5 linked regions of the Rattus norvegicus genome follow. The protein of the gene in region 2 purifies or fractionates together with the protein of the main gene of each other region. This does not show direct contact. Links are inferred from orthologs where the notes say so. Each region holds a gene or a part of one and is shown on either strand. Other genes may lie near its edges. The genes, in order: Pnrc1, Dcp1a, Bag4, Edc4 and Upf1.

The links.
Region 1: the proteins of Dcp1a (region 2) and Pnrc1 purify together in Homo sapiens (affinity purification with mass spectrometry; 3 studies listed by BioGRID and IntAct, with this or other methods). This does not show direct contact. The link is inferred for Rattus norvegicus from reciprocal best matches to the Homo sapiens genes DCP1A and PNRC1.
Region 3: the proteins of Dcp1a (region 2) and Bag4 purify together in Homo sapiens (affinity purification with mass spectrometry; 4 studies listed by BioGRID and IntAct, counting the BioPlex papers as one, with this or other methods). This does not show direct contact. The link is inferred for Rattus norvegicus from reciprocal best matches to the Homo sapiens genes DCP1A and BAG4.
Region 4: the proteins of Dcp1a (region 2) and Edc4 purify together in Homo sapiens (co-immunoprecipitation; 9 studies listed by BioGRID and IntAct, with this or other methods). This does not show direct contact. The link is inferred for Rattus norvegicus from reciprocal best matches to the Homo sapiens genes DCP1A and EDC4.
Region 5: the proteins of Dcp1a (region 2) and Upf1 purify together in Homo sapiens (co-immunoprecipitation; 4 studies listed by BioGRID and IntAct, with this or other methods). This does not show direct contact. The link is inferred for Rattus norvegicus from reciprocal best matches to the Homo sapiens genes DCP1A and UPF1.

What each region holds. Positions count from the first base shown.
Region 1 is NC_086023.1:52,442,135-52,448,378, forward strand, and holds Pnrc1 (proline-rich nuclear receptor coactivator 1), read right to left. Parts: upstream 4,358-6,244; 5' UTR 4,225-4,357; coding exon 3,775-4,224; intron 2,348-3,774; coding exon 1,904-2,347; 3' UTR 1,266-1,903; downstream 1-1,265. UniProt on the Homo sapiens protein: Nuclear receptor coactivator. May play a role in signal transduction.
Region 2 is NC_086034.1:5,660,940-5,667,184, reverse strand, and holds the start of Dcp1a (mRNA-decapping enzyme 1A), read right to left. Parts: upstream 3,749-6,245; 5' UTR 3,724-3,748; coding exon 3,589-3,723; intron 1,517-3,588; coding exon 1,476-1,516; intron 1-1,475. UniProt on the Homo sapiens protein: Necessary for the degradation of mRNAs, both in normal mRNA turnover and in nonsense-mediated mRNA decay. Removes the 7-methyl guanine cap structure from mRNA molecules, yielding a 5'-phosphorylated mRNA fragment and 7m-GDP.
Region 3 is NC_086034.1:73,003,596-73,009,390, reverse strand, and holds the end of Bag4 (BAG family molecular chaperone regulator 4), read right to left. Parts: exon of another isoform or gene 4,616-5,795; coding exon 4,358-4,615; exon of another isoform or gene 4,346-4,357; intron 3,024-4,345; coding exon 2,772-3,023; intron 1,811-2,771; coding exon 1,325-1,810; 3' UTR 771-1,324; downstream 1-770. UniProt on the Homo sapiens protein: Inhibits the chaperone activity of HSP70/HSC70 by promoting substrate release. Prevents constitutive TNFRSF1A signaling. Negative regulator of PRKN translocation to damaged mitochondria.
Region 4 is NC_086037.1:50,685,493-50,691,287, reverse strand, and holds part of Edc4 (enhancer of mRNA-decapping protein 4), read right to left. Parts: intron 3,820-5,795; coding exon 3,663-3,819; intron 3,283-3,662; coding exon 3,171-3,282; intron 2,898-3,170; coding exon 2,798-2,897; intron 2,597-2,797; coding exon 2,407-2,596; intron 2,300-2,406; coding exon 2,152-2,299; intron 2,071-2,151; coding exon 1,966-2,070; intron 1,668-1,965; coding exon 1,558-1,667; intron 1,468-1,557; coding exon 1,384-1,467; intron 1,303-1,383; coding exon 1,207-1,302; intron 1,125-1,206; coding exon 1,022-1,124; intron 905-1,021; coding exon 724-904; intron 628-723; coding exon 555-627; intron 458-554; coding exon 366-457; intron 291-365; coding exon 103-290; intron 24-102; coding exon 1-23. UniProt on the Homo sapiens protein: In the process of mRNA degradation, seems to play a role in mRNA decapping. Component of a complex containing DCP2 and DCP1A which functions in decapping of ARE-containing mRNAs. Promotes complex formation between DCP1A and DCP2.
Region 5 is NC_086034.1:19,126,079-19,132,663, reverse strand, and holds the end of Upf1 (UPF1, RNA helicase and ATPase), read right to left. Parts: coding exon 6,514-6,585; intron 5,437-6,513; coding exon 5,319-5,436; intron 5,058-5,318; coding exon 4,901-5,057; intron 4,398-4,900; coding exon 4,255-4,397; intron 3,903-4,254; coding exon 3,728-3,902; intron 3,627-3,727; coding exon 3,545-3,626; intron 3,092-3,544; coding exon 2,930-3,091; intron 2,853-2,929; coding exon 2,635-2,852; intron 2,467-2,634; coding exon 2,347-2,466; 3' UTR 2,344-2,346; exon of another isoform or gene 2,340-2,343; intron 2,226-2,339; 3' UTR 1,337-2,225; downstream 1-1,336. Other genes in the region: Gdf1 (embryonic growth/differentiation factor 1 precursor), read left to right, coding at 1-93, 513-1,291. UniProt on the Homo sapiens protein: RNA-dependent helicase required for nonsense-mediated decay (NMD) of aberrant mRNAs containing premature stop codons and modulates the expression level of normal mRNAs.

The sequences.
Region 1 (6,244 bases), on a different chromosome or scaffold from region 2:
GACATGGCTGTCATCCCAACACTGGGGAGGCAGGAGGACCACAAACTCATGGCTGTCTGCTGTTGGTAGAAAGACCTGTCTCAACCTGAAAAATCAAAATGGGGGTTGGTATAGAGCTCAATAGTAGCACGCCCGCTTTCATGCCCAAAGCCCAGAGCTCACTGTCCAGGGCTCACACACAAGCACAAAAGGACTGTGTTTTGGAGCTGGGTGTGGTGATGCATGCCCAGAATCCCAACGTTTAGGAGGCTGAGGCAGGGGTCACCCCGAACTCCTGGGCTACAGTAACGTGGGAGACTGTGGCTTAAAACTAAACAAAAATAATTTTTGTGTGTGAGGGCTGCATGCAGAAGACATTAATGATGATATGTGACAAAGTGGACAGCCAAAGCCCCTCTATGCCATCCGGAGGTCGTTGACAGAACTTGGGGGAGATTCTGTTTGAGGAGGTTGAGGTGGAGCAGCCACCGGAGGTTATCTGAGGGGATCTCAATTGACAGGCTACCCAGATCAGAGCGGCCTGTGGCCATCTGTGAGAGATTATGGGCACTGTACTCACATGCACATAATGGAAGTCAAGCAGTGACACTTCACACAAAAGGAGATCCTAAATCAGGTGTGAGAGTTTGCCTGTGACCCCAGTTCCTCAGGCAAACAGATTACAAAAGTGCCAGCCCTGCTTGGAGCAGGAAACAAGATCAAGATCAGAAATAATTATCTCCAAATGGCAATGAAGACGAGGAATTACGTACTCTAGAGCTTGTCTGTTGGCACGGTGCTTGCTTGCCGAGCATGCCGAGCCCTGTTTATCCCCAGCACCACTTAAACCAGGGGTGGTGGTGTATGCCAGCAACCCCAGCACTGGAGGCAGAACCAGAAGTTCTAGGTTATCTCAACTCCACAGCTGAGCTAGCTCGAGATCCTGTCTTAATTTTTTGTAATAACCAGCTTCACCTGTGTTCACATTCATTTCTAAGATGGGAAATTCTTTCTCTTAGAGGTAGGTTAAATTATTAACCTTAATAATTATTAAGCATGGAGTTGGGGATTTAGCTCAGTGGTAGAGCGCTTGCCTAGCAAGCGCAAGGCCCTGAGTTCGGTCCCCAGCTCTGAAAAAAAGAAAAGAAAAAAAAAATAATTAAGCACATCTAAACTTCATAGCATAATTGCTATTTTAGCACAAAGACGATAAATGTTCCAAGTCCAACCACAGAGTCACCTGCTTACACATTCATTCAGTCACACACAAAAAGCCAAGACCACCATAAAGGGGGGGGGAGGCCAAATTATTATTATTGATTTAAAATTTGATTACAACCAATTTTGTTGGTATTTAAAATTAGAGGTGTTTTAAATCTTTTCAATAATGGCAATATACTGATATCCAGAAGTCAAGTTTGGTAAAAATAGGAAGCTTTCTAGTAATTACAGATTAAAAGTCAAGTCAATTTAGAGAAACACAAACTCCATGTTTACAGTGATTGTGCCAGACTTAAGCTTCAGTAGTACATTAGGTAAACTGTTCACATTTAGATCTTCACTTTTGAGATTTGACAGCTGTTCTTAAAAAAATGTCAGTACCTGTGCAAATAAACAGTCTTCCACGTGCCTTAGCACCCACTTAAAATATCTCCACTGTATATATACAAAACACCCACCACATCCGCAGGGAAAATACATACTTTCATAACAAAACTATAATGTACCTCTCAAGTATGAACAATATACACATAATACATGGTATACAGTATTTACAAAATACAAAATATAATACAAGCTGCTTGTGTGACATAAGCTCATTGTGTCGGATGCTGCGATACGGCAAATTTCCACTGCCGTATCCACTTCCTTCAGTCCGAGGATGCGGGGGAATCTGTGTCTAATACACACTGCAGACTGGAGCCTAGGTCTGCACTTTGAGGAGCGTTTTCAAGTGCACTGCCATCAGCTCCCGGCTCTGGCTGGGATTCTCAGTGGTACTTCCCATCCAGTGACTCGGAGGCTTTGGGAGGACACTAGGGGACGGTGGGTCGCTGAACTTGGCTCCGGCGTAATTTTCCTTTTGGCTCCCTTCTGTTAGAAATGCTGATTTCTTCAAATGGTTATTCTTAATGTTCTCAGTATTTTTCAGAGGCTTTTTTTCCTGCTTCTGCATTCTATCAGAGGAAGCGGAATCTTGCCAAAAGTCATTTTCATTCCTTTTTGCAGAGGTGATCTTGGTTAGTGGCAAGTTAAATTTGCTTTTCTGTCTGCTTATCTTTGGTTGTTCACACAAGTGTATACCATGCACAAGCTGGCTATGGGGAGGGGAAATTTTCTCCGATTTTCCCATCTTTGATTTTAAAACCTACAAAGAACACAAAAGTGAACAGTTTAAGATAAAAATTATCTTTAGATCTATTTTGCCAAGTTGTTCTTAAGTTCCTCTAGAATTGAATCCAGTTTTAACTAAATACTTACGTGCAGGCTGTGCTTGCTACTGGATGTCCAAATGGCATGCCTCTTAGTTGCTATTGAAATTGATGCTCTTAATTACAGCATACACTAAACTTATATACAGTAAGAAATCGCTTTAAAAACTCTAACCAACCCCATGTTTTCTAACTGTAAACAACGGAAAGGAGCAAGTGTCCTCTATAGGTTAGAAAAAACCGTTTTCGACTGCCTTTGAGATTCAACAACCTCATGGACAATCTTCTAAACTCAACCAAAAGGCCTGTAAAGGCAGACGCAGAAAGGTAAATTCTAGGCCAGCCTGGGCTACTTGGTTAATCTTATAAACTCAGCCCCACTCCTAACAAACAGACCAAAAACTTTTGCACCCTAGTAACTTTCCTAGCCAAAAGTATAATCTACAGAATTTGCACCAGATGGAAACTCTACCCTTAGATCACTCCCCCTAACGCTTGCACAAAAACTGAAGGCAAGTACAAGGTCACACAAATCCACACCCTAACGGTAGCCTTTAAAAAACAATGTTCTCCGATGCACAGTGAGTTCCAAGGTAATGCAAACGCCTGTCTGAAAAACTAAAAAAACCACCTCAGGATCTAAATTTTTATTCCTCTCCATTGGCATACCTTGATCAAGTACAATTTCAGTACAATGGCTGCTTTTTGTGTCATTATCAACAAAGAATCCCTCAAATTGTATGTTACGATGTTTTGTTTTGTTTTGTTTTTGGTAAGAAAACTCTCAAACCTTTAAGCCCCGACAAAATTTTATCCGTATCAGTTAACTGCAATGTCCATTTTATAACTTCTAAAACTCAATTCTGGGCACTGCTTAGAAGCCCCTCCAGCGAGGAAAGCTCGTGCCGGCCTGCACCGCTCACAGCACAAGGACTGTGAAACACTAGTGTCGGGCATCAGACTGAGACTCTTGCCAACTTCCAAATCCCGGGTCAGACTCAGTGGGTCAGGCCGTGAGTGGGTCGGGTCGGGTGCCCTACTGGGCAAGGCGCCTGCGCCTCCGCCCCCACCCAGCACCGCCTTCATGAGAGCCCCAGAGCGCCGCACGTAGCGGGCTGACGTCAGCCCTCCGCAGGTCTCAGAGCCCCGAACGCCGAAACCCCCTGGATCGCCGCCAACCTTCTAAATGCAGGCTGTTGCTGGGCCACAGCCGCTGCTCCCATTGGCTGGCTCCGGAGCCAGAGGGCGGAGCCAGCGCAGCAGTCCAGCCCCTCCCCCTCCCTGCTTCCGCCCCACGACTCCAGCGAGCGTCACGGAAACTTCCCTCCCGAGTAAACAGCCGCCCCGCCCCCACCGGCCCTACCTCCTTCGCGAGTGGGGGCTGTCTGTATAGCAGGGCAGTGGCCCCTGGACCCCGCTCCTCCTGCGCTGCGATCGGCCCCGGCACCGGGCTGCGGCCACCCTCCAGGCTCGGCCGGTGCTGCTGAAACTGGTGGAAGCGGCTTGGGAGCTGCCCGGCCGGGCTGGCCCGCACCTTTTTCTTCCGCCGCTTCTTGGGCGCTGCCCGTGGGGCAGCGGCCGGGACCAAGCTGCAGCTGGACGGTGCAGCGGTGCGAGGCGCGGGCGCCAGGCACGGCCCGTCCCCTCCGAGGAAGTGCGGCAGGAAGAGGGTGGGTGGCAGAGCGCGCGGGTCCGGAAGGCGCGGCAAGGGCGGCGGGGCCGGGCTCACCATCGGGAGGGCCCCGAGGAACCCAAGCGGCGCTAGGCGGCCGCCCAGAGCGAGATCTCGCTGTGGAACGGAGACGACAGTCATGGCGCGGGGCTCGGCAGACGACGGGGAGCAGGCGTCACGGGGCGGCGGCGGAGGCTGCTGCTGGAAGGTTCGGGGCAAGGACCATGACTCGGGCGAGGCGGCGCAGCAACAAATAGCGCTGGCCACCGCGGCTAGTGTTGTTACCCGAGGCCCCGCCCCGCACCCGTCCACCTCTCTGTGGCGGTCCAATCCGAATGCGCCTGCCAGGCCACTCCCTCGATCCCGCCTCCGCGCCCGGAGGCAAGACACAAACAAGCAGCCTGCTGCAGCCCCTCACAAAGAACGCACGTTGCGCAGGCGCGTCCAACGGGCTCTTCGAGAGAGTGTCCCGTGAACAATGAAGTTCGACTTTGGCCTCACCTCCCTTGCATCAATCCTTTGGGGTGGCCTCGGGGTGGGGCGAGTGAGGAGGGAGGAGAGAGGCGGTGGAGGAACTAGGAAGCTGCTGACCTCAAGAAAGGATTGCTTTGTAGTTTTTCAGTTTCAGCTCAACATATTATTTAAGAGATTTCGGAGAAAACTAAGGATTTATTTCATAGCGCTGGTGAAGATCTGCCTCCATTTAACCTACATTGAAGTGTGGCTATGTGATTTCTCGTTCAGTTTTCTGATGCTGCCAGTTAACCCTGGTGGTGAAAATTAAAAAAGGTTTATTGATGGATTCCTCAGTTTACCAAAAGTGCTCTATAATCCCGAAAATGGGCCTTAAAATTCTTACTGCTTTTATAGTTAAAGATCTGGGAGGCCCTTAAGATCTCACATTGCCCCTGATACTTGATGCTACTGCAAGCCAATTGGCCTTTGTACTTAGAAAACCAGCTCTGCTACAGTTTGCTAGCTAACTGGGTTAACAGAACTCTCTCCTCACAGTTTAATACAGAAAAGAACTAAATAAGTTACCAAATAAGTATGACCTCAGAACTAATTCTGTAATTCATCTTGTTTGAAACATAGTTCTTTAATGATTAGGGTTTTATTTCATTTCTTTCTTTCTTTTTTTTTTTTCCCTTGGAGATGGTGTTTCTCTTTGTGTAGCCCAGGCTGTCCTCTCTTTACTCAATCTGTAGACTGGGCTGGCCTTGAACACAGAGATCCACCTGCCTCTGCCTCCCTAGTGCTGGGATTAAATGCTCGTGCCGCCACTGTCCAGGAATTTCTTTTTTTAACATTTTACAGTAATCAAGGCATTCAGAAACTAAAGAATCACACACAAATCATTAGAAAATTAGCAGAAGAATCTGAACTCCAGTCTAGGTATGGCAAGATCAAGACTTGTAACACTAGCTCCTGGAGAGGCTGAGTTGGAGTACGGGAAGCTTAATGAGACTCTGTCTGAAAATAATAAAAAGAGCGGGGCATCTAGATGGATCAGGGAGTAATTAAAGTACTTGCAACATAAACCTGGCAGTCTGAGTCCCATCCCTATAAGTCACCTAAAAGAGAACCAAAACCACAAGTTACCCTCTGATGAGAATAGAAGATGGGGATGAGCTAGGAGGTTTAGAGACTGGGAATGGGGTTCCTTTGTCTTTGACCAGCAGTAGGGAATGTCTTTGTTCTCAGACTAGAGATCCTAGAAGGGAGCTCTGACTTCTTATTTCTTCCTAAAAAGCCACTCCCAGCCCATACAGTAATTTTTTTTAAAGATGTATTTATTTTATGTATATAAGTACACTGTAGCTGTCTTCAGACATCGGATCCCATTACAGATGGGTGTGAGCCACCATGTGGTTGCTGGGAATTGAACTCATGACCTCTGGAAGAGCAGTCGGGTGCTCTTAACCGCTGAGCCATCTCTCCAGCCCCCCCCCGCGCCCCATACAGTAATTCTTAATGGTAAACATTTAAAATCAAGTCTCTAGCTTTGAGAAAAGTAGGGAGTATTCAACCTTTCAGGTAAATGATTTTGGGGTTACCTCTTCTGAAATGGGAGTTTTGCAGTTCCCTTGATCTGGGCTCTGTTGAGAGAAAGTCATCTCCTGGTCAAAAGAATGGAATCTACCTCTTGCCACAGGTAGAG
Region 2 (6,245 bases):
TAACACTTCATAGTTCACATTTGTTTCTGTAATATCACAGGGAGATAATGAAATCCTGTTCTCCAGATTCAGAAACAGAAGCAGAATTAAGGCTCATGCCCAAAGTCACACAAATTAAAAACTCCAAATCCAGTTTTCTTTTTGATTCCTGCAAAGTAACATTATGACATTCTAGTGTATTTTTGTCCAACGTACAGAAAATGTTCTTCAGTTCCCAAATAGAGGCTCTTAAGCCTCCTTTTCTTAGACCAATGCTATAGTTTGTATGAATTGTCTTAAATGAAGTTACTCACTATACTGAAGTTCCCACTTTCTCCAATCTGTTTTATTCTTCTAAAATTAGACCTATAAATATCCCCAAATGTTATAGACATTATGCTTATTCCTTAAAATTAGAGCTATAAATATCCCTGAGTATACAGACACTACTGTTCTAATAATAGTTAGGGGTTCTTAGAGACTTATATTGTTAATGAAGAGGTTGGAGTTAGATCTTTTTTATTTTAGAGAAGAAAAATGAAGTAGAGAAAAGAGTATCAAAGAAAGAGGAGCTTGTCATACAAACCTCGAAATACTTCCATTTAAAGGAAAAAGTGTATTTAGACAAGATCACAACGTTCTACACTAACATTTACAATAACACTCCATTCTTATAAAGTGGTACCAGTGGAGGATGGCTGTCCAAAAAAGAACTCGGCACAAAAAGAACCAATGTCTGTAGCCTTGCTGCTACCGCTCAAAGTTCTAGAATAGGCAAGGGATTTGCCTCTAACACCAAGAGCTATGGGTACCTGGGAATACAAGGGTCTCATGACTTGTCTCATCCTGTGGGCCACCTAGGATGAGGCCCCTATGCTGCCAAACAAGGTAAAGTTGTCAACCTTTACAAACCAACCATTTAAAGAATTAATTTTCGGGGCTGGAGAGATGGCTTAGTGGTTAGGAGCACTAACTGCTCTTCCAGAGGCCCTGTGTTCAAATCCCAGGGTGAACTCATGGTGGCTCACAACCATCTGTAATGGGATCTGATGCCCACTTCTGGTGTGTCTGAAGACAGTTACAGTGTACTCCTATATAATAAATAAATCTTTAAAAAAAAGAATTTTCAGAGAAGTTTAAAGTAAAATGTATATGAATTAGGAATGACCTAGAACTTTGGGAAGAGGCAGGAAAGGGGCAGAACCAGCCACAGAAGGCAAATTCTCATCAGAAACTACAGACCGGCAAGAGTGCTATCTCAATCACTTTATAGCTACTGTACTATACTATATTCGCAGACATTCGTACGTATGCATTCTTTTTAACATGGGAAGAAGAGCAGCAGCTGTAGTAGGACTGTAGTGCTTGGGTGGGGGAAAACTGGAAGAAGATAAACAGGAAGGCTCCAAAGCTACATACACGATAGAAACGGACCACGCTCCACCACAGCGATCACCACCATTCAAGTGAAGTAGAAACATCCTTAAGCCACTTACCTTCGGTATACAAATAATGTCCCTTCTATATCAGTCTTCTCCTGTAACAGACAACGACTCTGTCAGTTTTCCAGGAATAATCCAAGGTCAAATGATCTTGGTGAAGCACCTACACGTTCAGGCCAACTTGTCTTATTTACTGTGAAATCGATCGTGTATGTGCTCAAGGGAATGCACGCTGGCATTTGTGTACAACTGGAGAGGCCATCGGTCACTCTCAGGCGTCATTCCTTCTTTTGAGTCAGGGGGTCTCACTGGCCAGAAGATGGGCAATTTAGCTGCACTTCCTGGTCAGTGAGCTCCAGTGTTGTGTCATAAGCGCCTCCATGTCCCCAGAGGACACGTAAGTGCAAGCTACTACGTCCAGCTTTCTGTGTGAATACTTCAGGTTCTCAAGCTGGGGAGGCAAGCACTTCATCCACTGAGCTGTCTCTTTAGCCTCCAAATTAGTCACGTTTGAACAGGTAAAGCAATTCACTTTTTAAAAGAAATCTAAACAAATTATGTATCTGTTCACCCCTGTGTTTATGTATGTCCAACCCAACAATATGTGTACATCTGTAGCACATGTCTATTTTTGCCAGTGAGGAACATTTAAAGGGAAAAAAAAAGCGATTTAGCTTTACTTATTTTATGTATTAAATTTTTTTTTCAATTAGAAAAGATGTAGGGCTCTTTTGTCAGCATACGTATTTCTTTGTAACACATGTATGTGTGTACGTGGAGCTTAGAGAGGGCACTGGACGTCTTGGAACTGGAGTTACAGATGGGTCTGAACCATCATGGGGATGCTGGAAATTGAGGCAGGTCCTTGGGAAGAGCACCAAATGCTCTTAGCTACTACTGAGCCATTTCTCTGCCCCAGCTTCTCTCTGCAAACACTAAAACCTTTCAACTAGGTATCTTAATACTCCAGTCAAGGTATTGTCTACTGCAACTTAAAAAACCAAAAACTTGGAAAAAAAAACCAAAAACCAAACCAAACCAAACTTGAGCAGTCTATTGAGGTTTATAGAAAAAGAATGGAAACTTTCTTCAAAAGGGATACCAGGTTGAACTCAGAGCCTGGGCCTCATGATGCACAGCTGTGTAGCACTGAGCTAAATCCCTAACCCTCGGGACGTTTTCTTCTAAGATACTGTTTCATTTCTGGAGAATTTAGGACTATTTTCACGAGTTACACATTTTGTGGTGACCAAACACAATTTAATATTTTCAGAACTTTGTTAAGACTCGTGGATAGAAACCATTCTCTGCCTTAGACAAATGTGGTAGGTTTTTAAAATAAACGCCTGAAAATGTGATTAAGAAACTGTAACTTGGGTTGGGTATATAGCCCAGTGGTAGAGGAACAGTACAGTGTCTGCCTAGCATCAGGAGGAAATAGGACATCATGTAAATAGGTGCTTCAAGTTGAGGTTAACTAAAGTCAGTGAATGTAATTTCTGGAACTCCATGCCACTCACAAAATCCAAAAAGAACTAAGAAGTGAGCGATCAAACGTCCTATCACCGGTCTCTTTTTTTTTTTTTTTTCTTGTAAAAACGTCTCCAAGGAATCCAATTCTTACTGAAGTAGCCTTGAAATCTTTCTTTAAACTCCGGTGATACCAGTTCTGCTAAAGCTGGACTAACTCCTGAGACTGATTTTTAAGCTTCAAATCCAAATCATCACATTTAGGTCGGCAGGGAAAGAGGAGTGGATTTTGCAATCAAGAACACGTGATTTATCTAATAGTTTTCAAAGTCTCAAACACAGGTTTTCAATCACTTGTTAGAAAAAAAAATTAACTTGTCTCATATCCTGCCAATGCAACCTCAAGTCTCCAGAACCGACCCCAAAAAGACTGATCCTGCCTCATTCCTGTCCTCCATCTGATTTCCCTGTTATGTCTCTGGTGTACTCCTACCCTTCATTCCTCCAATTCCGCGTGTCCCTCCCCTTTCCCCCGTCATCTCTTCGGCTCTGGAAGGACCTTTGGGAGAGGTTCGGGCCTCGCCTTTGCGGTCCTACTCTGCTCCACACCCCACCCCCAATCCTAAGCTGTCTGCGCGGTCCCTTTAAGAGGCGGCAGCGGCCAGGCTGGCGTTCTCCACGGCTGGGCCTCACTCACCCACTGGTTGGCTTTGGGGCAGAAAGTGTACAAGGCGACCTGGCCCGTGAGGTCTGCGATGCTGGTGATGTAGGGGTCGTGTTGTTTCAAGGCCGCCAGACTCATCTCTTGCTCAGCTCGACTCAACAACTCCATCTTGGATCTCCAGGCCGAGCCCCTCGGGCGGGGGCGGACTGGAGAACAGGAAAGTGCCATCCAGGCAAAGTTCCCCCAGCTCAGTCAGCCGTCCACTTCCGCCTATCCGACCTGCCTTGCCGAGGGTGGTACTTCAGTTAATCTGATCCGCCGCTCCTATGCCCTGGGAGCCTGGTTCCGATCTTTTTAGGTCTGCGGCTGCCGGAAGGTACAGGCGTCCGCGCCTGCGCGGTGGAGCTTCGGCGAGCCGACATTCCGGAGTCCTCCTCTCTCACCTGGCGGGATCTGAACTTGTTCCTTGAGTGCTCCAGACTCCTGCCAGTGAGACCGCAGCCCAGCACATACCCTGAATCGAAATGCTTGCTGCTGTGGAAGTGAGGTTTTCATGGACCATTGAGAAAACTCAGACCAAGTGAGGAAAGGGAGCTGTACTTTACTTCCGAGCTGCACTTTCACTCTTAACTGTTTGGTAATTTTTGAAAGAAATGTTTCAAAGCAGCCAAACTAGCCTGCCTGGAACTACACTGTACTCGGCTTCCCCTCTTTGGCTTGTCTTTTCCTTCATCTGGGTCCTAAATAAATATTTCTGTTGTTCTAGAAAGACCTATTACGGGGTTGGGGATTTAGCTCAGCGGTAGAGCGCTTGCCTAGCGAGCACAAGGCCCTGGGTTCGGTCCCCAGCTCCGAAAAAAAGAAAAAAAAAGCAATATAGAAAGACCTATTACTTAAATAATAAGTAGATCTCTTAAAAAGCCAACATTATTGGGCATCCTAAGGGGTCAGGTACTACAAAGTAAAACAACGTGCTCAGCCTATTTTCATTGAGCTGCTTTAAAAACCATCGTTTTTCTTTATTGAGGACATCTCGGCACAAATGAACGTTTTTGAAAGGATAAACTTTACATTTCCATCAAAGTACCACCATATATTTGTGTTGCTTGTGGTTTTACATCCCAAGATCATTTGCTAATGGAAGGGCAGACTTTCCGTTCGGAAACACGTGTGAGGCAAGAAGTCGGAACAGCTTATGGTTTGTTCGCCCTTTGCTCACGTACACATTCATTGATCTTATAGAGTGGTTGTCAGTTCCAAGCTTCCAACTCTTTTTGGCACCAGGAGAAACGAAAAGCAAGCAAATAACCCCATGATAGACATTTCTCTTTGAATTCCAGAGGGTGGAGTCTATTTCCGTCTGAGCCAGGAAAGGTAGTGAAGGAACTCTTAACCAGTTCCGGCATGGTGGGCGTGGCTCTGGCAGGCCTTGCCCTTCTCCCCAGTTTCCTCTGCCTTGCTAAAGACTGTTAGATTGCATTCCTCACACTAGCCACCAAGGTCTGTTCCTTAATTTAGCCTAATAAGAGATTAATTTCTCCTGAGGCTGACTACCAAGGTCTGGCTATCAAAGTATTGGAGTCTAGCAATCAAAAGCCCCCTTTGGCTAATTAACATGCCCAATTAAAATTAAACACATCATCCTAACGTGGGCTTCCCCTTTTATCTTTATAAACTGCCATTTGCCCGTGGACCACATCTATTTCCTCTATATCTAGAGAGTCCTTTGTCTCCTTCCCAAACATCTCTTACCCCTCTCCTCCCAACCCCTTTAATTTTTAGCCCCTTGCCTTCCTATCTCCTGCCTTTGTTCATTATCCCTGCTCTCTCTCCCCCTGGAGCACATAAATCTCTGTGCTGAGAACATGGTCTTGGGGTGCCTTGAGCCAACTTCTGAAGGCAGTAGGAAGGCTTCAAGAAGGTGCTGAGGTTTGAACTGCTGCTTTCGATGAGGAGGTGCTCCTTGGGAAAGTAAAGTTAAGGGCTGAGGTTTGCTTCATGGCCCAGTGGCAAGGTGGGAACCTAGTGTTTAATGCTGATTTGATTCAGACTGGAGGGGAAGAAGGGAATGGCTCAGAGTTCCACACTAGTGAGGAGTATTCTGGTATGAGAGTCTTGGGGATCCTTGTTCCACATCTGGACTGCCTTTCACCCAGTGGTGGAGGGTAGGACCCCATCACTTTCTGTACCTTCATTTTCCCTCTGTATGCTAATTTTTGTGTGTTATTTAAAATTTTGTCTCTATATGTGTACATGTGTCGGTGTAAGTCTGTGCTGACGTAAGTGTGCAGAGGCCAGAAGAGAGTGTATGGGCACACTGGAGTTTAAGTTACAGGCATTCGTGAGCCTCTGGACCTGAGGGCTGAGATCTGCACTCAGGTCCTCATGGCTGAGCTGTTGTGGGGTTAACCATCAGAGAAGACTGCTCAGACATGGGTTTAAGCCAATAAAAAAACCAATCTTTTTTGGTCGGCCGGCAACTACACTGGGTGTTTGGGATCCCAGTGTAGCACGGAAACTTTCTCAGGGTCACCTTTTAAGTACAAAAACCATGTTCTGGGTTGACACACTTCAGGTAACAAGAGCAGTTAGCCAGATAGAGCTACGGAGGCTAAAAAGCCAGGTTAGTACATTGTGAGACTTTGCCAGAACTCTGTGGACTTTGATGGGTTAGGCCTTTGTTTTAGTTT
Region 3 (5,795 bases), about 67 Mb from region 2:
CATAAAGGCCGGCTAGTCTAGAAGAAAGCATCACCTTGATATTTTACTAAGAAACTGCCTTTGTTGCGAAAGTGGATACTGTATGCTAGATCTCACTTTAGGCTTAAAGGGTAAATTATTTACCTGTCTCTGTATAACATACACAGATAACCAAAAAAGGCCCCTTTTCTTAAACTCAGCTCTAAATTGACTATTATTAATGATAAACATCTTTCTTATGAAACAGGCAATTCTATGCAATTTATCCTACAAAATAAAGACCAAATTTAAATTAAAAGTATTAATTTTCCACTTCAGCTAAGGCTGACTCATTCCCTGAGCATGAATCTCCTCCTTTTCCTTCTATCAGCTACACACTGAGCTCAGATCTGTCCCACAGACCTACCGAATGGAGACCAGTGTTATTAAATAATCATATTTGTTACTTTTTTGCAGTCACTATTTATACTAACTGTGGCATTTAAGTTTCCACTTTTTTATCATAAGGCTCTTTATAGAAGCAGTAATAGCCAAAAGATATTTTTCTTAAAAAAGCAATTTCAGAGATCTTTATCCAAATACAACAAAGCAAAGAATGTGGCAAACATTGTCATTCTTATGTTAATGTAATTTTCAGAGTCACCTTCCCCATCATGAAAAGCAGAAGTGGGAAGAACGTAACGTAACATGCTACACAGGAAGGGGGACAAATGACTTTAGGAGCCCACTACACACTGCAATATATTCAAGTGGTAAAAGGATATGAATTCATTCAGAACTGCTCACCTATCTGGCTGCCAATATTTGATTATATTAAACATATTACTACAAAATGTACGAAGAAGTAGAATAGTATTACATCTGTGACCTGCTGGTAAGAAAACAGAACAGAGGTCCAAGAGTCTAGGCTATAATATACACATGAAGTATATGCAGTCACAATGCACAAAAATGTGACAGTCCAGATGCTTACAAAACAGCCTGCTTGTCTCAGATCCGGTTTTTGACAACCTGTTACATAAGTCTATCTCCCTCCTGCGACCTGATAAGCAGCAGCCTCCAGACATCAGTGGGTTTCGTAAGAAGTAGGTCTACTTGGCAATACTGATAATTCCAGTTTCCTATTATGTGCAGTCATCTGAAAACTGAAAAGAATCTTGTCACTGCTGCAATTCCATTCCTCTGCTGGCTTTTCCAGTTCTTTTTCCTTTCAAGTTTTAGCTCAGAAGAAAGTTGGAATGTGTTGCTTCTTGTCACAACAGGCATTTCAAAAGATGGGAACTAACCAAATTAAAGAGTTCTTTGGCCAAATCATTAACAGGCTTCCGCTGCATTCCGAATTATTTCATAATCCCTTTTTTTCTAACTTTTCCAGTATGGCCTGGATCTTACAAACAGCTTCTTTCCTGGCCTGACGCACAGAGTCCTGGCCCCCAGTTTCAACAGAATCCAGTTCTAACAGTTCCTTTGTCAGCATTTCTTCCAGAAGCCAGTAGGCTTTGTCTGTCTTTTTCCCCACAAACTCCTCTACTTCTTGCTCAAGATACTGGACCTTCTCCAGCACATGTATGATTTTTTTAATACTTGGAGGAGTGCCTTCATCTGAAGAGAAACACTCTTCAGGGAGATTATTACTGGGAACTTGGTTGCTTGGATGCTCACTGCTGGTATTCCCATACAACTGCGGCTCAGCACTATATTGGACTTGAGAATCCAAAAGGTCTGATTCATCATTGTTCACTGCTCCCGGAGATTCATACTGACGGACGCTGCAAGGAAAGCTGTGCCGGTTCATGCCTTGACCCGATTGGCTATAGGAATATGAGGAGTCCTTGGAATGGAAGACAGAAAAAAGAAAGCTGTTTTCATGGAAGCTATCAACATCAGATGTTAGTACACATCTTTTACCAACCAGGACAGTACTTGAAAAGATTCCCACAAAACTGGCTCCTAAGTAACCATCAGAGGTCAGCACTGTCAGAAGATGACAGGAGAGTCCTTTCAAGCAACAGGCACAGAATTCATAAATGTGACAGTTGGAATCTACCCAGTACAAGTCATTCTTGGGAACACCCCCAGCCCATCTTACTACTCACAATTCATCATTAGTTTCCCTCAAATAGTAAAAGCTTGCAGAGCATAGGCAAAAGCAGAAAGTGTGTCTGTGGCTTAGGTAAAGCCAGCACACAAGCCAATGTGTGCTATTTCACATTGTTTTCCCTCCTGCTGCAAATCATGAGGCTGTAAAATAATCCCTTGATTCTACTTAATATTCAGATAGTATCACAGTAGAAAAGAAGCATTTTCCTGTCTTTTTTTTAAAAAAAGATACGGTGCTGGAGAGATGGCCAGCAGGTAAGAGCATTGGCCGCTCTCCCCAGGACCCCAGATTTGATTGTCAGTAGCTACAAGGTAGGTCATCATTGTCTGTAACTCAAGTTCCAGGGGTTCTGGCCTCCAAGGGCACCGAGTACACATGTGGCCCATAGACAGAGGCAGCCAGTATACCATACACATAAAAATAATGAAAAATTACATAGCATAAACAGAGGCAGCCAATATATTCATACACATAAAAATAATGAAAAAATTACAAAAAGATAAAAACCTAAAAAATAAAAAAATCCCCAAATAATACTATTTATAAAAGTATAACAATCTAAGCTAACATAATGCCATAGGGTAGCAACGACCAACATTTTTGCATTTAATAGACTAATCCAAAGAAGTGTCATCTTATATCCTCTTAATTGCCTAGAGATCAAAAGAACTGCATTTGGAAGGCCTCCTACCTTAGGCTGTTGGGGTGGAGGTGAAGGAGGTGGCTGAGGAGAACTGTTACCGGGCCATGGTGAAGCACTTTCCGTCATGTACAGGTTCCCAGAGGGGGCTGAGGGTGCAGCTGAAGGCCAGGGATAACGGGCTCCCATCCCGTAAGCACTAGAAGCCCATGCATCATCTTGTGGTCGTCCAGTTGCTCCAGACTGTGGCACAGTGCGGTTGCCATCTCCGTAAGGATAATGGGGCAAGGTCATTGCAGGGTTCTAGATTGGGAAAAACAAATGTGCTGGTATGCTCATTGATCACTGCTTAAAAAAACAAAGCTTAAAAGTAATAAAAATAGCACAGAGAGGTCCTGACCTGCTAGTAACTCATTAATCAGTTACCAAAAATTCTCCACACCTGAGAAAACCTGGCTCCCAAAACACAAAGAACAGAGTTGGTGAAAGACTCATGAGTTAGTCTTCAAATTCACTGGATGAAGCATGTATTTTCCAAAAACATACAGATGAATGAATGCACACACTGTAAACATGCAGACAGCAGAGTGTTCTCCAAACAACAAATACGCTCGGCACACTCACAGCACGGTAACACATCCAACAGTGTTAGGAAAGGTTCAGTCAGGGAAAGCTTCAAGCAGCAACAAAAGATCTATTACAAACTTTATGGGGGCTGGAGAAATGTGGCAGTGGTTAAGAGCACATACTGCTCTTCTAGAGGACTCAAGTTCAAGTCCTAGATACCATAGCAGGTGGTTCCCAAACCTGTCACTCCAGTTCCATGAATGCTCACTCTTGCGGCCTTGTGAGTACCCGCATTCATGTACATGAACACAGCCATGAGAGTATGCATAGAATTAAAAATAATAAGAATAAGAGAGAACAAAAGAGGAGCAGGTGTAGTGGCATTATGTCCCTAGTCCCAGCACTCAGGAGTGAGTGGTAGGCAATTTGCTGTGAGTTTGAGGCCAACTAGGTCTGTACATGGAGGTCCAGGTGCCCAGGGCTACATACGAAGACCTGGTCTCAAAGAAGAAAAAGAAAAAAACAAACAGAAAAAAATATAAATTATGGGCCAGAGAGATGGCTCAGTGGGTAAAGGCACTTGCTATGCAAGTCTGGAGACCTGAGTTTGATCCATGGAACCCACAGAAAGTGAAGAGAAAACACACTCCACAAAATTGTCCTGTGGTACATGTATGTCATCCCTCACAACTCCTACCATGCACACAATAATAAAATGTTAGGATTTAAAAGAGTTAGAATTATGGCATTTTTAAGGTCACTTCAGCCAAATCCATTTAGGCATCAATATAAAAGAAACTCCATTTCTCCATTTGTCAAATAATCTCTGAATGACTACAGTATTTTCTGTTTTGTTGTTTTTGAGACAAGGTCACACTACATAGTCTTGAATGGTCATGACTACAAGGGCTTCACCTGCCTCTGCCTCCTGAAAACTGGGGTTGAAGGTGTACACAGTGTACATGGCTCCACTTGTCTTCCTAAACAGCACTAGTATAAATGGGTAACTTTCCACTATTTGAAATTCAGGAAATAGAGGCGCTTTCTTTCCTTCCCAGGAGGCTGCTTACCTGTGAAGCAGGATACCCCGGCACCTGACCCCGCAGAGGAGGCGCTTCTGTCGGACAGTCCTGCTGGGGATACATCCAACGCGACACTGGAGTCGGGCTGTTACCAGGTGAACGGTAGGTGCTAGGAATGTCCGTGGAGTAAGTGCCTTGAGCATAGCCAGGTACGTAGTAAGCCCCAGAGTAAGAGGCAGCACTTGCTGTTGCAGGGCCAGGAGGGTAAGGTGGGCCATATGCTCCATTTGCGTAAGAATTCAGACTCTGAAAAAAGGTAATCAGAGAGGAAAAGATAATGGGCTGAAGGGCTAAAATGCCCTTAATGTTCAACCTTGAAAACTTTAGGAAGTAAAGGTGTCAGTAAGCAGTCTCTGAGGTGCTCTTTCTCTTCTCTAGTCTCTATATCACACGCCAGGCACTGAACTCAGATTATAAACTGAAGTTATGGGACATCGATGGAAGCCTATATTGTGATGACAGATAACATTTTCTTACATTTAACTCACAACTACATGTCTAAGAGGAGAACGTTTGCTCACAGAAGGCAACTCTAGGAATCCTGGGGAACAAGGTAGAGGGGGAAAAAATCATATAATAGAAAGAAAAAAATCAGAAACATTCTCTAATAGTTTATATTTAGTTACTCTTAGCTTCAGTTTCTCTAATAGGAAAATGAAGGCCAAAACTTTCCTTGCAGGATTATTAGGAAAAACTGAGATAACAAAACAACAACAAAAAAAGATTTAGCAGATACACAATTTGTTCAAAAGATGGTGACTACATTACTATAAGTATCACGATGAGTTCGAGAAATGACCCCAGTCATATTGAACTAAGCAATCACCCTGCTTTCCTGATGACAACAACAGATAACAGGGAAATTCTTCACTATACTGTTTACTACTGTGGTTATTATAGTTTGGTTATTGTTTTAAACAGTGCTGGGAACTAAACCCAGGGCCTTGTGTGTGTCAGACAGGTGTGCCACCTCCAAGATACAATGCCAATCTGTTTTCCTGTGGTCTTAAATCACCTACACAGACTATTACATTGCTCATATCCAGATCCTGCTTAGTGCTCCAAATAAGATTAAAGCTAAGCCTTAACTTCAACTATTACCTTATGTTTTGTATTATTTGTTTGCCCCCCCACCTCTGTGTGTGTGTGTGTGTGTGTGTGTGTGTGTGTGTGTGAGAGAGAGAGAGAGAGAGAGAGAGAGAGAGAGAGAGAGAGAATGTGCATGATATGGAGGATGCATGTGTCACAGCATGCTTGTGGAGGTCAGAGGACAACCTAGATAGTGAGACCTTGTCTTTCAACTTGCCTTTAAATTTGTTTGACACAGGGCCTCTTATTTACTGTTTTAAATCCCAGGCAGGCTAGAGAATACAGACACATGGGCTACTGCATTCGGTCTTTATGCGGTTCTGGGAATCCAAACTGA
Region 4 (5,795 bases), on a different chromosome or scaffold from region 2:
CTACTACTAGGGGATGCAGAGATCTGGGAAGAGCCAGAAAATGAGTGCTAAGGTTAGCTAATGGGACATTACCAGACCTCTCTCCACGAAGGAAGTAAGTACCTGCTGCAGGGAGGCGGTAGGTGTCATGAAAGCATCAGGTGTCATCAACTTAGGCTTGGTCTCACTGCTCAGACTGAGGAAGTCTGCAGGTGCAGGCAGCTCCACAATGCGTCGGAGGTCAGGCTGGGAACCATGAGGAGCTGAAGCTAGCCCCTCAGAGCCTAGTTCAGGTCGAGACTCTCCAAATGCTGTTGGAAAAGCTGCTAAGTCAGATCTCAAGGCCACATCAGTGGAACCAGTCTCCCTTCTGTTCCCTTACTCACTGAAGTCCTCATGAGCAGTGTGGGTAGAGAGTGGGGCCACCACATCAGGGTTCAGCTGTGGCTGGAAGCGGATCTGCACATCTTGGAGTGCCCTAAAGAACAAAGGGGAGAAGAGAATACTCAAAAGGCCAGGGCCAGTAGGGTAGGGGGACATAGGCAGGACATGGCAGGCCTCCCTGACACACTCACTTAGTGTGCACACAAAAGAGCTTGATAAGCACACCAGCTGCAGATTCCAAGGTACCAGCTCCATGGGAACTCTCTGAAAGGACAGTGTGGATCATTAAGGCATTGGCCTGCTCTGTGCATGGACACTTCCCACATACCAACATATAGCCCTTACCCCAGGGCACCTCACCAGTCCCCAGACTGTCACTCTCCTCCTCAGCAGGCAGCACCTCAGTGTGCCGCAGCCGGCAGCGACTCACAACCTGGATGCCAAAGCTCAGCACAGGGTGGGTGAGCAGGAACTCAGAGATGGAACTGAAGCAAGCACGGCCCTCGTCCTGGTTCTGCAGCAGCTCCATCACATAGAGGACCTGCATGAGTAACACACTGCTAACTCAACTGAGGCTGTAAGGGCTGTGACTACATCACATAGCCCTGCCCTTCCCAGCAACACCAGCTCTTTCCAATGTACCACCACAGCAGCCTACCTTTCGTTGCACATCACTAAGAATCAAATATTCTGCTGAGAGGTCCAAGCAAACTTTGAGACTGGGAGGCACACTCACTGAACTGAAGATATCTGGGGAGAAGCTAGGGAGCCAACAAGCAGACCAAGTAAGGCTGAGAATTCAAAGGACTACGTCCCTGGCCTATCTCCCTCACTCTAGTTTACCGAATGGTTTGCAGGCAGGTCCAGGACACTGTGCACCACATCTTCAGCTCTCGATTCTGGTCAGCGCCAGTAATGAGGAACCTCCAGAATGGGACCCTGAGAATCACCAAGGCACTGACTGGTTACCAGCTAGAAGCCCACAGAAAAGCCCACCTACTTGCCTCTCCACTCACTCACTCAGGATCCTGTTTCTTATGGTTATCACAGAACAGGAGGCAAGAAAGAGGCCGCCCATCATGAGGTTTCCATTCATGCAGACACCTGCAGGCAGACAGGTGAACAGTCTGAGTGAATGATCTGTCCCTCTTTCTAAATAGGGCAGACACTAGTGTCTTTCAAGTCTTGCCTTACCTTGGCTCATCCTGACCTTCAATATAGATCTGCCAGAACTTGACAAAGCCATCATGGCTTGCGGTGGCCAGCACAGTCCCATCAGGGGAAAGGGCTCCTTCACTTAGGCACTGCAAAGAACCCAAAAAGCTTTGCTTTGCCTCCTGACCAGGGGTAAGAACGAGCCCTACCTCAATGACGATAGTAGTGAACAGGGCCAACCAACAGCGGCCTCATTTCTGTGTGACTGAATGAAGCGGGTAGGTGCTAAAGAGAAAACCAGACTTGCAGGGCACAGCTAGATTAGGAATCAATTGTCCAAGTGAGAGCCAGGTTGTCTTCAACATCCCCAAGGGAACACACTGGTAAAGCCCCTGGGGCAGCTGTGGGAATAGGGAAAGGCAGGGAGGCGATATGTTGTAGACCTACCGTGCTATGGCCTTTTACCACGATAAAGCCCTGCTTGATTTGGCTGACATCCACAGGCCATGTGCTGTGGCTGGAGCGAAGCATATCCAAGTCCCACACCTCAGCCTAGGGGTATAGGGAGGTATTTAGTCCATGTGCCCAGTATGGCAGTTCTGATCCTTCCTTCACCATAGCCAGTCCTCTCACCCGGTCTTCATGCAGCAGGGCCACCGTTGGGCTACTCTCCTCACAACAGTCCTCGCTTTCCTCAGGGATGAAAGGGCACCAGATGATCCTTCGGAAGTGGTTCAGTGGTGTGCCCTCTGGTTGCCGGATATGGACTAAGATCTCTTCTCTGAGTAGAGAGTTAAGGCTACATAGGTAGATGATGATGTAACCCTCAGCAGCCCCAGCCCTAGGCCCAGCTCTGCTTTTTCAGCCCCCTTGCCTGGGAATGGATACTGAATTTTGCCCTTAACCAGAGCCAGTCGCCACACAAAGAGATCGCCGGCCTCGTCCAGGCAGGCAAGCTGTGGAGAGTTGAGGTGTGCAAATGCAAGGTCAGCCACACTGCCTGTGAAGCCCTTGAGCAGGGTCCGCTCCGAAGTGCTCACACTGATCACTCGGACCATGGCTGAGCCATTGTTGGCAGCTGGAAGCAGAAAAGCAGAGGATTGTGAACGAGTGCCCCGTCCTTGCTTGCCACTTACTATCACCACAGTCCTGAGTCTGGTTTTCCTGACCAGCTCCCTCAGCCCTGGGACAAACCTCTACTGTACGCTAGCATCTGAGTACATCTGCATCTCTGGGGTTTGTAGCAGACACTTCCTTCTTGCTCCATGTTCTTACTTACCCCTGATGGCGTATGCCAAGAAGGAGTTAGACACTGCAATCAGGTTGCCATAGTAGTATTTCTGCTCCCAGTCATACTTGGCTACAGGCTGGATTTTCACCTGAGGGTTCAGAGTAAGGAAGCTGAAGAAGCTGAGGGCTGGAGTAGTTAACAATCCCAAGGGCAGGACAGGTCCACAGGTACAAACCTAACACCCACTGACATCTCCCAGAACAGACTTCCTCAGAGGTTTGGGAGTCAACACTGATTTTCTGAAAATAAGGTAGACTCTTTATCAAAGTGGTTCCCATAGGAATTGCCAGCATGCATGAGAGAAGAGAGACGCTGAGTGTGCTACTATATAGTACATATGCCACAAAATCCTGGTACTCACCTTGTTGCTCCCTCGCGCCTTGCTGGAAATGCTAGAATCACTGCTGGCCACAATTTCTACCTCCTTGGCCAAAATCCCAATGCACGTGGAGCTGTCATCTCCAGAGAGGCAACTGGAAGAGGTCCATAAACCAAGTAAGTCCCTTGTTCCTCAAAAGGCTCAGTAGAGGGTGCTAAGGTCATAGTGACCTGATGAAGATGTCTAGTCCCAGCTTCCCAGTTCTGCCTGGTTTCCATATACAGTTCCCCTTGCTCACCTCCCTTCTGGCAAATGAGGTTAATCCCATTCTACACTAGGCATCCAGGCCAAGTCTTTAGCCTGTCCTCATATCTTTTCTTAGTATATATTTAGTGAGGTATAGTGCTGTGCCCCAGATCATCCAGAAGAGAGGAAGCAAAGGCTGCTTGCCCATTTGACCTTAATCTTATCTCTATAGCTAAGTGAAATCCGCAAAGATATCATTATCATCATTACTATTTCTCAGGTACTCACATGACCTGCTTTTCCTGCAGATTAATGGGTGGCATGGTCCGTATACCAGGTTTGCTTGTCGAGTTACCATCTCCTGAACTGAGCGGATCTGGGACCAGGAGCCCATTGAGGTCTCCATTGTAGGCACTGGATGGCCTTTGGCTTTCGACATTGGAGCCTAGGAAAAGAAAACAACACTGTGAAAAGGTTGCTTTGCCTGCCATGAGCTTCTTCTACAACTCTAAACCACAAAGCACTCAGGAGCATTTGTTATGTCCAGTAGGGAGGAGGGCCCTTTGTTCATTCTTCATTCTGTAAGTGTGGTTATATAGCAGGACCAGGGATGAGTATGAGACTCATCTACCTGTGGGAAGGTTACAAACCAGCAAGACCTTGGAGCCAGAACCACAGCTCAGTGGTGGCATGTTGCCTGCTTATTTAGTATATGTGAGGCCCTTGGTTTGATCTTTAGCATCAAAAAACAAAACTAGGCCAGTTAATATTTGGGCTAAGAACAGCAAACAAACTTGATTTGAAGGAGGGTATGAGGACAATCAAGATATCATAGCAAATTATATCTACAACACACACATGGGAAATGCTGGGTGTTGTGGCACCTCATCATTTGAGAGGATGAGACAGAAAGACTGTGAGTTCAGGGAGATGCTAGGCTTATGTATGAAATTCAGGCCAGTCTAGACTACATATAAAATCCTGTCCCAAAACAAAACAGAAAGAAGTCAGAGAAATGGCAGTGTTTAAGCAGCAATTGCTGCTCTCAGCACCCACATGGTGGTTCACATCAATCTTTAATTCCAATTCCAAGGGACGTGGTACCTTCTTCTGATCTCCTCAGGCCCCAAGCCCACATGTAGTACACATACATATATGCAGGCAAAACACACAAACAATAGAATAAGTAAATCTACAACAAAACAAAAAAACCAAACAACCCAGAAACAAAACATGGTAAGGGTAGAGGTTGACAATGCCTCTGGGATGAGGCTAGGTTGTTTAGCCTCTCTTTCTGTGCAATGAGAGCCAAAGAGGCTCGCCACTCCCTCTCTTTTTTGAGACAGGGTCTTCCTGTGTAGTCAGATGGCTTTGAAGTTGAGGACTTTTTGCTTATGCCTCCTAAGTGTTGGAATTACAAGTACATGCTAGCACACTTGGCTCTACAAGGGTTTTACGTTTTATACATTCAGCTGCAGCCAGTGGACTGACTGTTACAAGGCAGCATACAGAACAGCTGAGAGTCTGTGCGAGATACCAGAATTCAAACACAGTAGGAGTTTGTGGAGAACGGTTCCTAATACAAAGAAAGGAGGGGTCTGACACACTGAATTAGTTAACAAGTCAACTTGGGCAGGTTAAACTCAGAAAGAAAGGCACATGGGGAACTAGACAAAGAAAGAGGAGAGAAGCTATGGGCATGTGGTAGGATGTGGAATTAGGAATGACATTATTTTAGATGTTTGAAATAGCTGGTCCCACTCCTTAATGCTGAGGATTGAGTCCTGGACATCCCTTGCATGCTAGGTGGGTTTCTGTTGTTTGGGGAGAGGAGGTAGGACTAGGGATGAAACTCAGGGCTTTCTTTGCACATGCTAGACAACTGCTCTACCACTAAGCTATGTCTCCATTTATGTAGTTATTTATTTTCTTATTTATTGAAATTGGGCTTCAACATAGAGCCCGAGGTAGCTGACAATTCTCCTGCCTCTGCCTCTGCCTCCCAAGTGCTGGGACTATAGTGAATGCCACTATGCCTGGCTTCTGGCTATGTTTCAAAAACTCATTAATTCAGACACACTTCCCAAACTCTGAGCTAGGAAGAAGGTACTTCAGCAGGAAAAAAACAAGTTTTCAGTCATAAAACAGTCTTCGGTCTGATAAGTCCTTCAAGGAAGAGACAAGCAAAAGCTACTTGAAAAGAAAACCACCAGCTGGACAGTAAAGGCAAACACCTTTGATTCCAGCTCTCTGGAGACAGAGAGGCAGGTGGATCTCTGAGTGGCCTCTCAGAGAGGCCAGTTTGGTCTACACAGAGCAAGTTCCAGGACAGCTGGGGCTAAGCAGAGAAACCCTATCTCAAAAACCCCAAACCAACAACAACAAAAAATCAAGTGCCAATCACTAAACAAAGGATTTACC
Region 5 (6,585 bases), about 13 Mb from region 2:
CCCAGGAGGCCAGAGTGGGGCGCCCTCTGAAACCATGCCACGTGGAGGAACTGGGGGTTGCCGGAAACATTGTGCGCCACATCCCCGACAGCGGTGAGTAGGGGGTTGTGGTTGGGTAAGGGTCCATGAGACTGAGGGTCCCTCACGCGACCTGTCTAGCTTAGTAGCAAGCTGGGACCCTGTTTTCCTAGTTCTCTAAAATCATGGGACACATGCTGGCAGCTTCCCAGGGCCCCATCTCAGCCCTGCCCCCATCCCGCCACTTCATATCCCTTGATGCCTTCCTTCAGGTCATTTTGGGCCCCCAGGTACTGGCTGGCACGTCCCCTTCCGCCCATGTCTGCAACTGTAGGCATGATGCCCCACAGTGTCCCTTCCTTGCAGCGGGTGCCCTGCCCCCACCCCATCCGTCAGTGGGGCTCCTGTCTCTCAGCGCTTCCCTTCCTCCTTGTCTCAGCCCAGCCCCTTTGCTGGGGCATTGCGCCATGTCCGCTCTCTCCTTGCACCTCCAGGTCTGTCCTCCAGGATCATACAGCCCGCCAGAACCTCAGGGCTGTGCCCCGAGTGGACCGTCGTCTTTGACCTGTCGAGCGTGGAGCCCATAGAGCGCCCAACACGCGCGCGCCTAGAGTTGCGGCTGGAGGCTGAGAGCGAAGATACACGAGGGTGGGAGCTAAGCGTGGCGCTGTTGGCCGAGGCTGAGCATCCTGGGCCTGAGCTACTGCGCGTGCAGGCGCCACCCGGGCTGCCACTGCGCGCAGACCTACTGGGGACTGCAGTAGCGGCTAACGCATCGGTGCCGCGCACTCTGCGCTTGGCGCTGGCGCTGCACCCTGGGGCCGCTGCAACCTGTGGGCGCCTGGCTGAGGCCTCGTTGCTGCTGGTGACGCTGGACCCACGCCTGTGTCCCTTGCCGCGGTCACGGCGCCACACGGAGCCCAGGGTGGGAGGTGGTCCAGTGGGCACATGTCGCACCCGACGGTTGCACGTGAGCTTCCGTGAGGTGGGCTGGCACCGCTGGGTGATTGCGCCGCGGGGCTTTCTAGCCAACTTCTGCCAGGGCACGTGTGCGCTACCTGAAACACTGAGGGGACCCGGCGGGCCGCCTGCACTTAACCACGCTGTGCTGCGCGCGCTCATGCACGCAGCTGCTCCCACCCCGGGTGTAGGCTCGCCCTGCTGCGTGCCAGAGCGTCTGTCGCCTATCTCCGTGCTCTTCTTCGATAATAGTGACAACGTGGTGCTGCGCCACTACGAGGACATGGTGGTGGATGAGTGTGGCTGTCGCTGACCACCCAGGACACCCTTTCAGGGACGGCCCCACGCGAAAAGCAGGGACCGTTTGTTCATGTTTTATTGGTGACAAAAAGCTTAAAACAAATTTGACCAAAAATTAAGTTCCATTGCGTTGGCGCAGGTGTGCCTGGGTAGGGGTTGGGTGGCTGCCGCGGGAGGTGGGGGGGCCGGGGCAGGGCGCCCAGCAATGAGGCCTCCACCCACGATGGGGAAGAACCCGCGGGCCGTGCTCACGAGTTCGCCTGTAGCCTCTGAAGCTCCAACTCAAAACCCTCCTGCTGCGGTCCTGGCGGTGATCCCAGGCTGCGGGGCTCGGGCTTCTCAGCACTGCCTCTCCGGAAGCTTCTCTCATCTCCCAGGTCCACCAGTCGGGTCTTAGAGACAAACTCATCCAAGTACTTCCCATACTCCTTTGAAAGAATCTTTGAGGGGGAAAAAAAAAAAAGAAAAAAAAAAAAAAAGAGAAAAAACCCCAAACACCGTATTTTCTTTAAATGAAACCCCTTAGCGCTGGGACCGCGCGCTGATGCTCTTGGCCGCCCGCTTGGGCACAGAAACGCGAAGTTCGTCCTGCTAAAACGTAGCCCCTCAATCACGAGAAACAAAGAAAAAGAACAGCGGGGCCGGTCCTGGCGAGGCCTCTCCCTCTGGCGGGCACGGCGCTGGGCCGGCCTCGCAGCGGTGCGGGCCTCTCTCCTCTCGCCGCCCGCAGGGGGCGCCCGCTCCTCGGCGCTCCGCTCTGTCGTCCTCCCTGGCCGCTCTCTGCTCGCTCTTGCTCCTCTTTCCTCTCCTCTCCTCTCCTCGGCTGCTCACACAGTGGTGCTTCAGTTTTAGCAGTGGAAAACAGGTATCCATTTATTTTTATTTTTTATTACCCAGAATAAGATGCTGATAGACTAAGCCACATAGCTTAGCTCTTCCGCCGCTACCTGTGATCAGGGACAGGGTGAGAGGTGTCAGAGCCAGCAGAGGTAGGACCTGCCAACACCCCACATCTACTGGCCCAGTTTGGCTGGGAAGACCTTGTTTGCCCACTAGGGCACTTGCCTTCTAGTACTGGGACAGCCCGGTGACCCCGCCGTGCTGGTATGCCCGCTCTCCCTGGTATGTGGAGTCTTGTGAGAGTGCCACGTCAATCTGTGATTTAAACTCATCACCGAGGTAGCTGTCCTGAAAGGCAAAGGCAGTGTGAACATGGCCAGGGCAGCCACTAGCCCACAGCCACCCAGTCCTCAGACCCACAGCAGTGGGGTCACTCACCCTTCAGAAAGGAGGCATAATGGTCCTGTGTGTCTCCCCCCCCCACCCCCCACCCCCAGTATAATGGTGAAGGCCCACCTGGGACAATTCTGGCTGGGAGAGGCCAGGCTGGCTCATCTGAGAGGGCTGGCTCATGGACACATAACCTTGTGTGAGGGCACCCTGCGAAAAGGGCTGTGAGGCCACATCCTGGCTGGCCTGGCTGTTGGGAAGGGTAGTCTGGCTGGGCCCAGGAAGCCCAAAGCGGTTCTTCTGGCGGCCTCCACGGCCAGTCTTGCTTTTTGGGGTGCCCCGACCTAAAAGACAGCAGTGAAATATGGCAAGTTCTACCTAAAGTTAGGAGAGGAGCCAGGGCAGTGATAGAAGCACTTACCAGCAGCTGGCCCGTTGGCCTGTCCGAAGTACCCAGGTGGTGGCATGGGAGGCATGACCAAGTTGAAGGGAATGGGGATGTTCATGGCAGCCACATGGCTGGGACCTGCGCTGATCATGCTAATCTGGTCATGGGTCTGGAAGTACATGTTTGAGGGCCGGCCTGCAAAACACTTGGGAGTCAGATGGAGGGCCCCAGTGGACACTGGCTGCCCTGAACTATAGCTACTACATCAGCCAGACAAGTAGGCGAGCAGAGGGAGGTCGAGTGACATGCGGGGTGCTGGTAGAGAATAAGAAACATAGAAGGGTTGGTGAGGATCTGGCCACAATGGAGCTTTCTAGGCAACTTAGAAGCTTCCAGAAAGCAGAGGCCAGCCTGGCTGAGGTGGACAGGGGCAGCAGCACTCAGGCAGCCTATGCAGACAGGAGGTCCCGGCAGTTTTCAAGAGACCATGCTCCAAACCAACAGCAGAGGCCAGAACAGCCCTTGGGAACCTCGTTGGAGAAGCTAGACACCTATTGACAAGCTCCAGATGGAGGCCACCCATGGGGTGACAGGTTCGGACTGGGTCATGGGAAGGTAAACAGACTGGTGCTTGCCAGGAAGGCTCACCCTGGCTGCTGCGGTCATAGACAGATCCGGGGATGATAGCCTCACGGGCATCATACATGGCAGTAGTCATGAAGCGGGCCCCCTGCAAGGTGGCACAAGAGTGAGGAATGTGTCAGTCAACAGCAGCAGAGTTAGCTCAGAGCTCCCAGCCTCCCCAGGTCCCAGGCCAGCCCCTTGGCCCACCGGATTGACGGTGTTGACAAGCTTGCGAGGCTTGCTGAACTGCATGAGGCTCTCCCGCAGGTTGTTGAGCGGCCCTTCCACCAGCGCCTTCTGCTCCTTGTAGTAGCTCAGCAGGTGGTTCCACAGGGGCTGCTTCGACAGTGCCTTTGGGTTACCCACGATGATCACCCCGTACCTGCAGGGCAACCGACATACTGAGCCCATGGCCATACTCACTCAACCCCACTGTCCAGGGCTAGCACCATGAACGTGAACAGCTGGGTGCTGAGAACCAAACAACACATGAGGTGCGCCTGAGCAGTGGGAACTCTAAGTGCACTCTCAGCTCTCCAAATGCTGATTGTGAGCTCAATCTGTGTCCTATAGGATCATGGAGTTGTGTTCCTCAATCAGTAGGGTAGCAAGTAGGCCTCAAGATGGGGTTCCAGCATGCACGTCTACTTCCAGGACAGATATGGGTAAAATGGATGATAGGGAGGGTCTTCTTGTGGGTGGAGGGTGGATGGGAGCAATGGGCTGTGGCCTACCTTGCTCTGGTGAGAGCCACATTGAGACGCCGGGGGTCGTTTAAGAACCCAATACCCTGGTGCTCATTGGCACGCACGCAGGACAGGATGATGAAGTCCTTCTCCCGGCCCTGGAAGGCATCCACGCTTGCAATCTCCACTTCCTGAATGAGACAGTGTCTTGTCAGTCACAGCCCGGCCCCTCGCTCTCCTGCCTCTTCCTTCAGCTGCACAGGAAGGAGCTGCATCATTAAGTATGGTACAGCCAGATGCTACAGGTCCCCAGTGACAGAGATACCACAGGCCCAGTGAAGCAGAGACTGAGTAGGCGCTATGGTGTCAATCCTTGGCCATGCTAACCCCAATACAAAACCAACCAACGCTCTGCATCTGTCACACGCCCAGACAACGTACAAGTACCATGCCTTTCAGGTGGGACTGCCCCTTCCTGTCCTGTCCCTAGACTGCTTTCTTTTCAAGACAAAGCCTTACTGAACAGCCCTGGCTGTCTTAAGGCTGACAATCAAGGCTGACTTCAAATTCATAGAGACCAACCTGTGCTCGTGTGACCAAGGTGCTGAGACAGCACCACACTCTAATTTTGTCTCCAGCATACACTTACTGTGGCTGAAGGCACCGACCTGTGGGTCAGTGGGTCTGGGGGTACCTGGTAGAGCTTCGTGTGCAGGGAGCCGCTGAACTGCATGTACTGCACCAAGTAGGAGCGCTGGCCCTCGTAGGGAGTGATGATGCCAATCTGGTCAGGCTTCGCGCCTGCCTTCAGCAGCTTTGTCGTTATCTTCTCCACATTGGCTGCCTCCGTCCTGAGAACATCTGGCTGTCAGTGACAGGCTCCTTACATGTCCCCAGCCTGATAAACCTCCAGTAACCAAAGGGGCACAGGAGGCCACATGACAGTTGCCCGTCCCTGCCATTTGCCAAGGCTCCAGAAGAAACAAGAGCCTTGTGACTTCCCCTCACATGCTGTAACAAGCAGAACCACCCAAGAAGTAAGATGCTCTGGGTTTTGGGTCTGGGAGCCCAGGGTGAGAACAGGGCTCCATACCAGGGACGCAGCTGCACACCTGTTGAGGTAGGATGTGCCAGAGCTGGCAATCTCCTCCTGGCCCTGTGTCACGTAGAAGAACATGGGCTTGTCAGGCTGTGGCCACTGGAAGTCAAAACCTTTCTTGACACGATCGGCTGTCAGGGAAAGACAGAAGGTGTCACTGCTAAGAAGCCCAGGGCTCAAGTGCACACACTGAGAGCAGCAAAAGGGCTGAGTCAGCACTGTTTAAGACATAGTCGCCCACTGGGGACACAAGGATACTTCCTGTGCAAGCAATGACCAAGAGCGGCCGAGCCCAGGAAATACCAGGAGTCTCACATACTCCGGCAGTCACAGAGGGAATAGCAGGTCCAGCAGAGTGGTGCTGTCCCCACCTCTGGCTACTTGGATCCATGTGGCAGACCAGAGACACAGCTCTCAGCACGCAGTCCTGGCTGGCCCTGACCTCCCAGAGAGCCTGCCTGTCTGGTCCTAAGTCCTAGGATTAAAGCTGAGAGCCATGCCCAGCTGGTAAAAAAATTTTAAGAAAAACACCTTTATGCTGCAAAGCAAGTCAGATAGCAACCTTTCATTCCACTTCACTCAGGCTTCATGGAGGACAGCTAGGCCCACTTTGTTTCTGAACCAACCTGCCATGACAGCTTTGAGCCACAAACAGCTTCCAAGGGTGTGTGTATGACACTGTAGCTATGGCTGAGCTGATAGCACAGCACCATAGGCAGTGGCCTCCACAGACCGCTCTGCCTACTACCCAGGCTCTCTAGGTCCTCCCAACAGACACTGTGCAAAGACCCTGAAGGGGTCACTGCCATAAATAGTTTTAGGTGACCCTAGTGTCCTAAAATTCTCTGTTCACAGAGCTTCAAATTACCACAGGTAATAGACGTCACCAGCTGCTGAACTCAAAGACAGGCTCTCGCAATCTACTTCCCTGGTCTCATCACTGATGGTTTGTCAAGAAAACCCTGCTGTCAGGGAGGTTCAGTTCTGTCTAGGGTGCCTATCCTGGAACTGTCCAACACAAAGCAATGGCCAAGGGGTGGAGCCAGTACATGAGATGGCCACGGTGAAAGGCCCAGCAACCCCAGAACTCCCAGGCAGGCCCATCTACAGACCAGCTGTGCATGGCCAGTGTGTGTGTGGGGCAGCCACACTCCAACAGCACCTTGACAGCCATAGGGAGGACTGTGAGGTCATGACCCAACTGTTACCTGCAGTGACGCCATTCTGCAGCGAGCCCTCGTAGAAGATGTTGGACGGGAAGGCGCTGAGTGCAGGGTGCA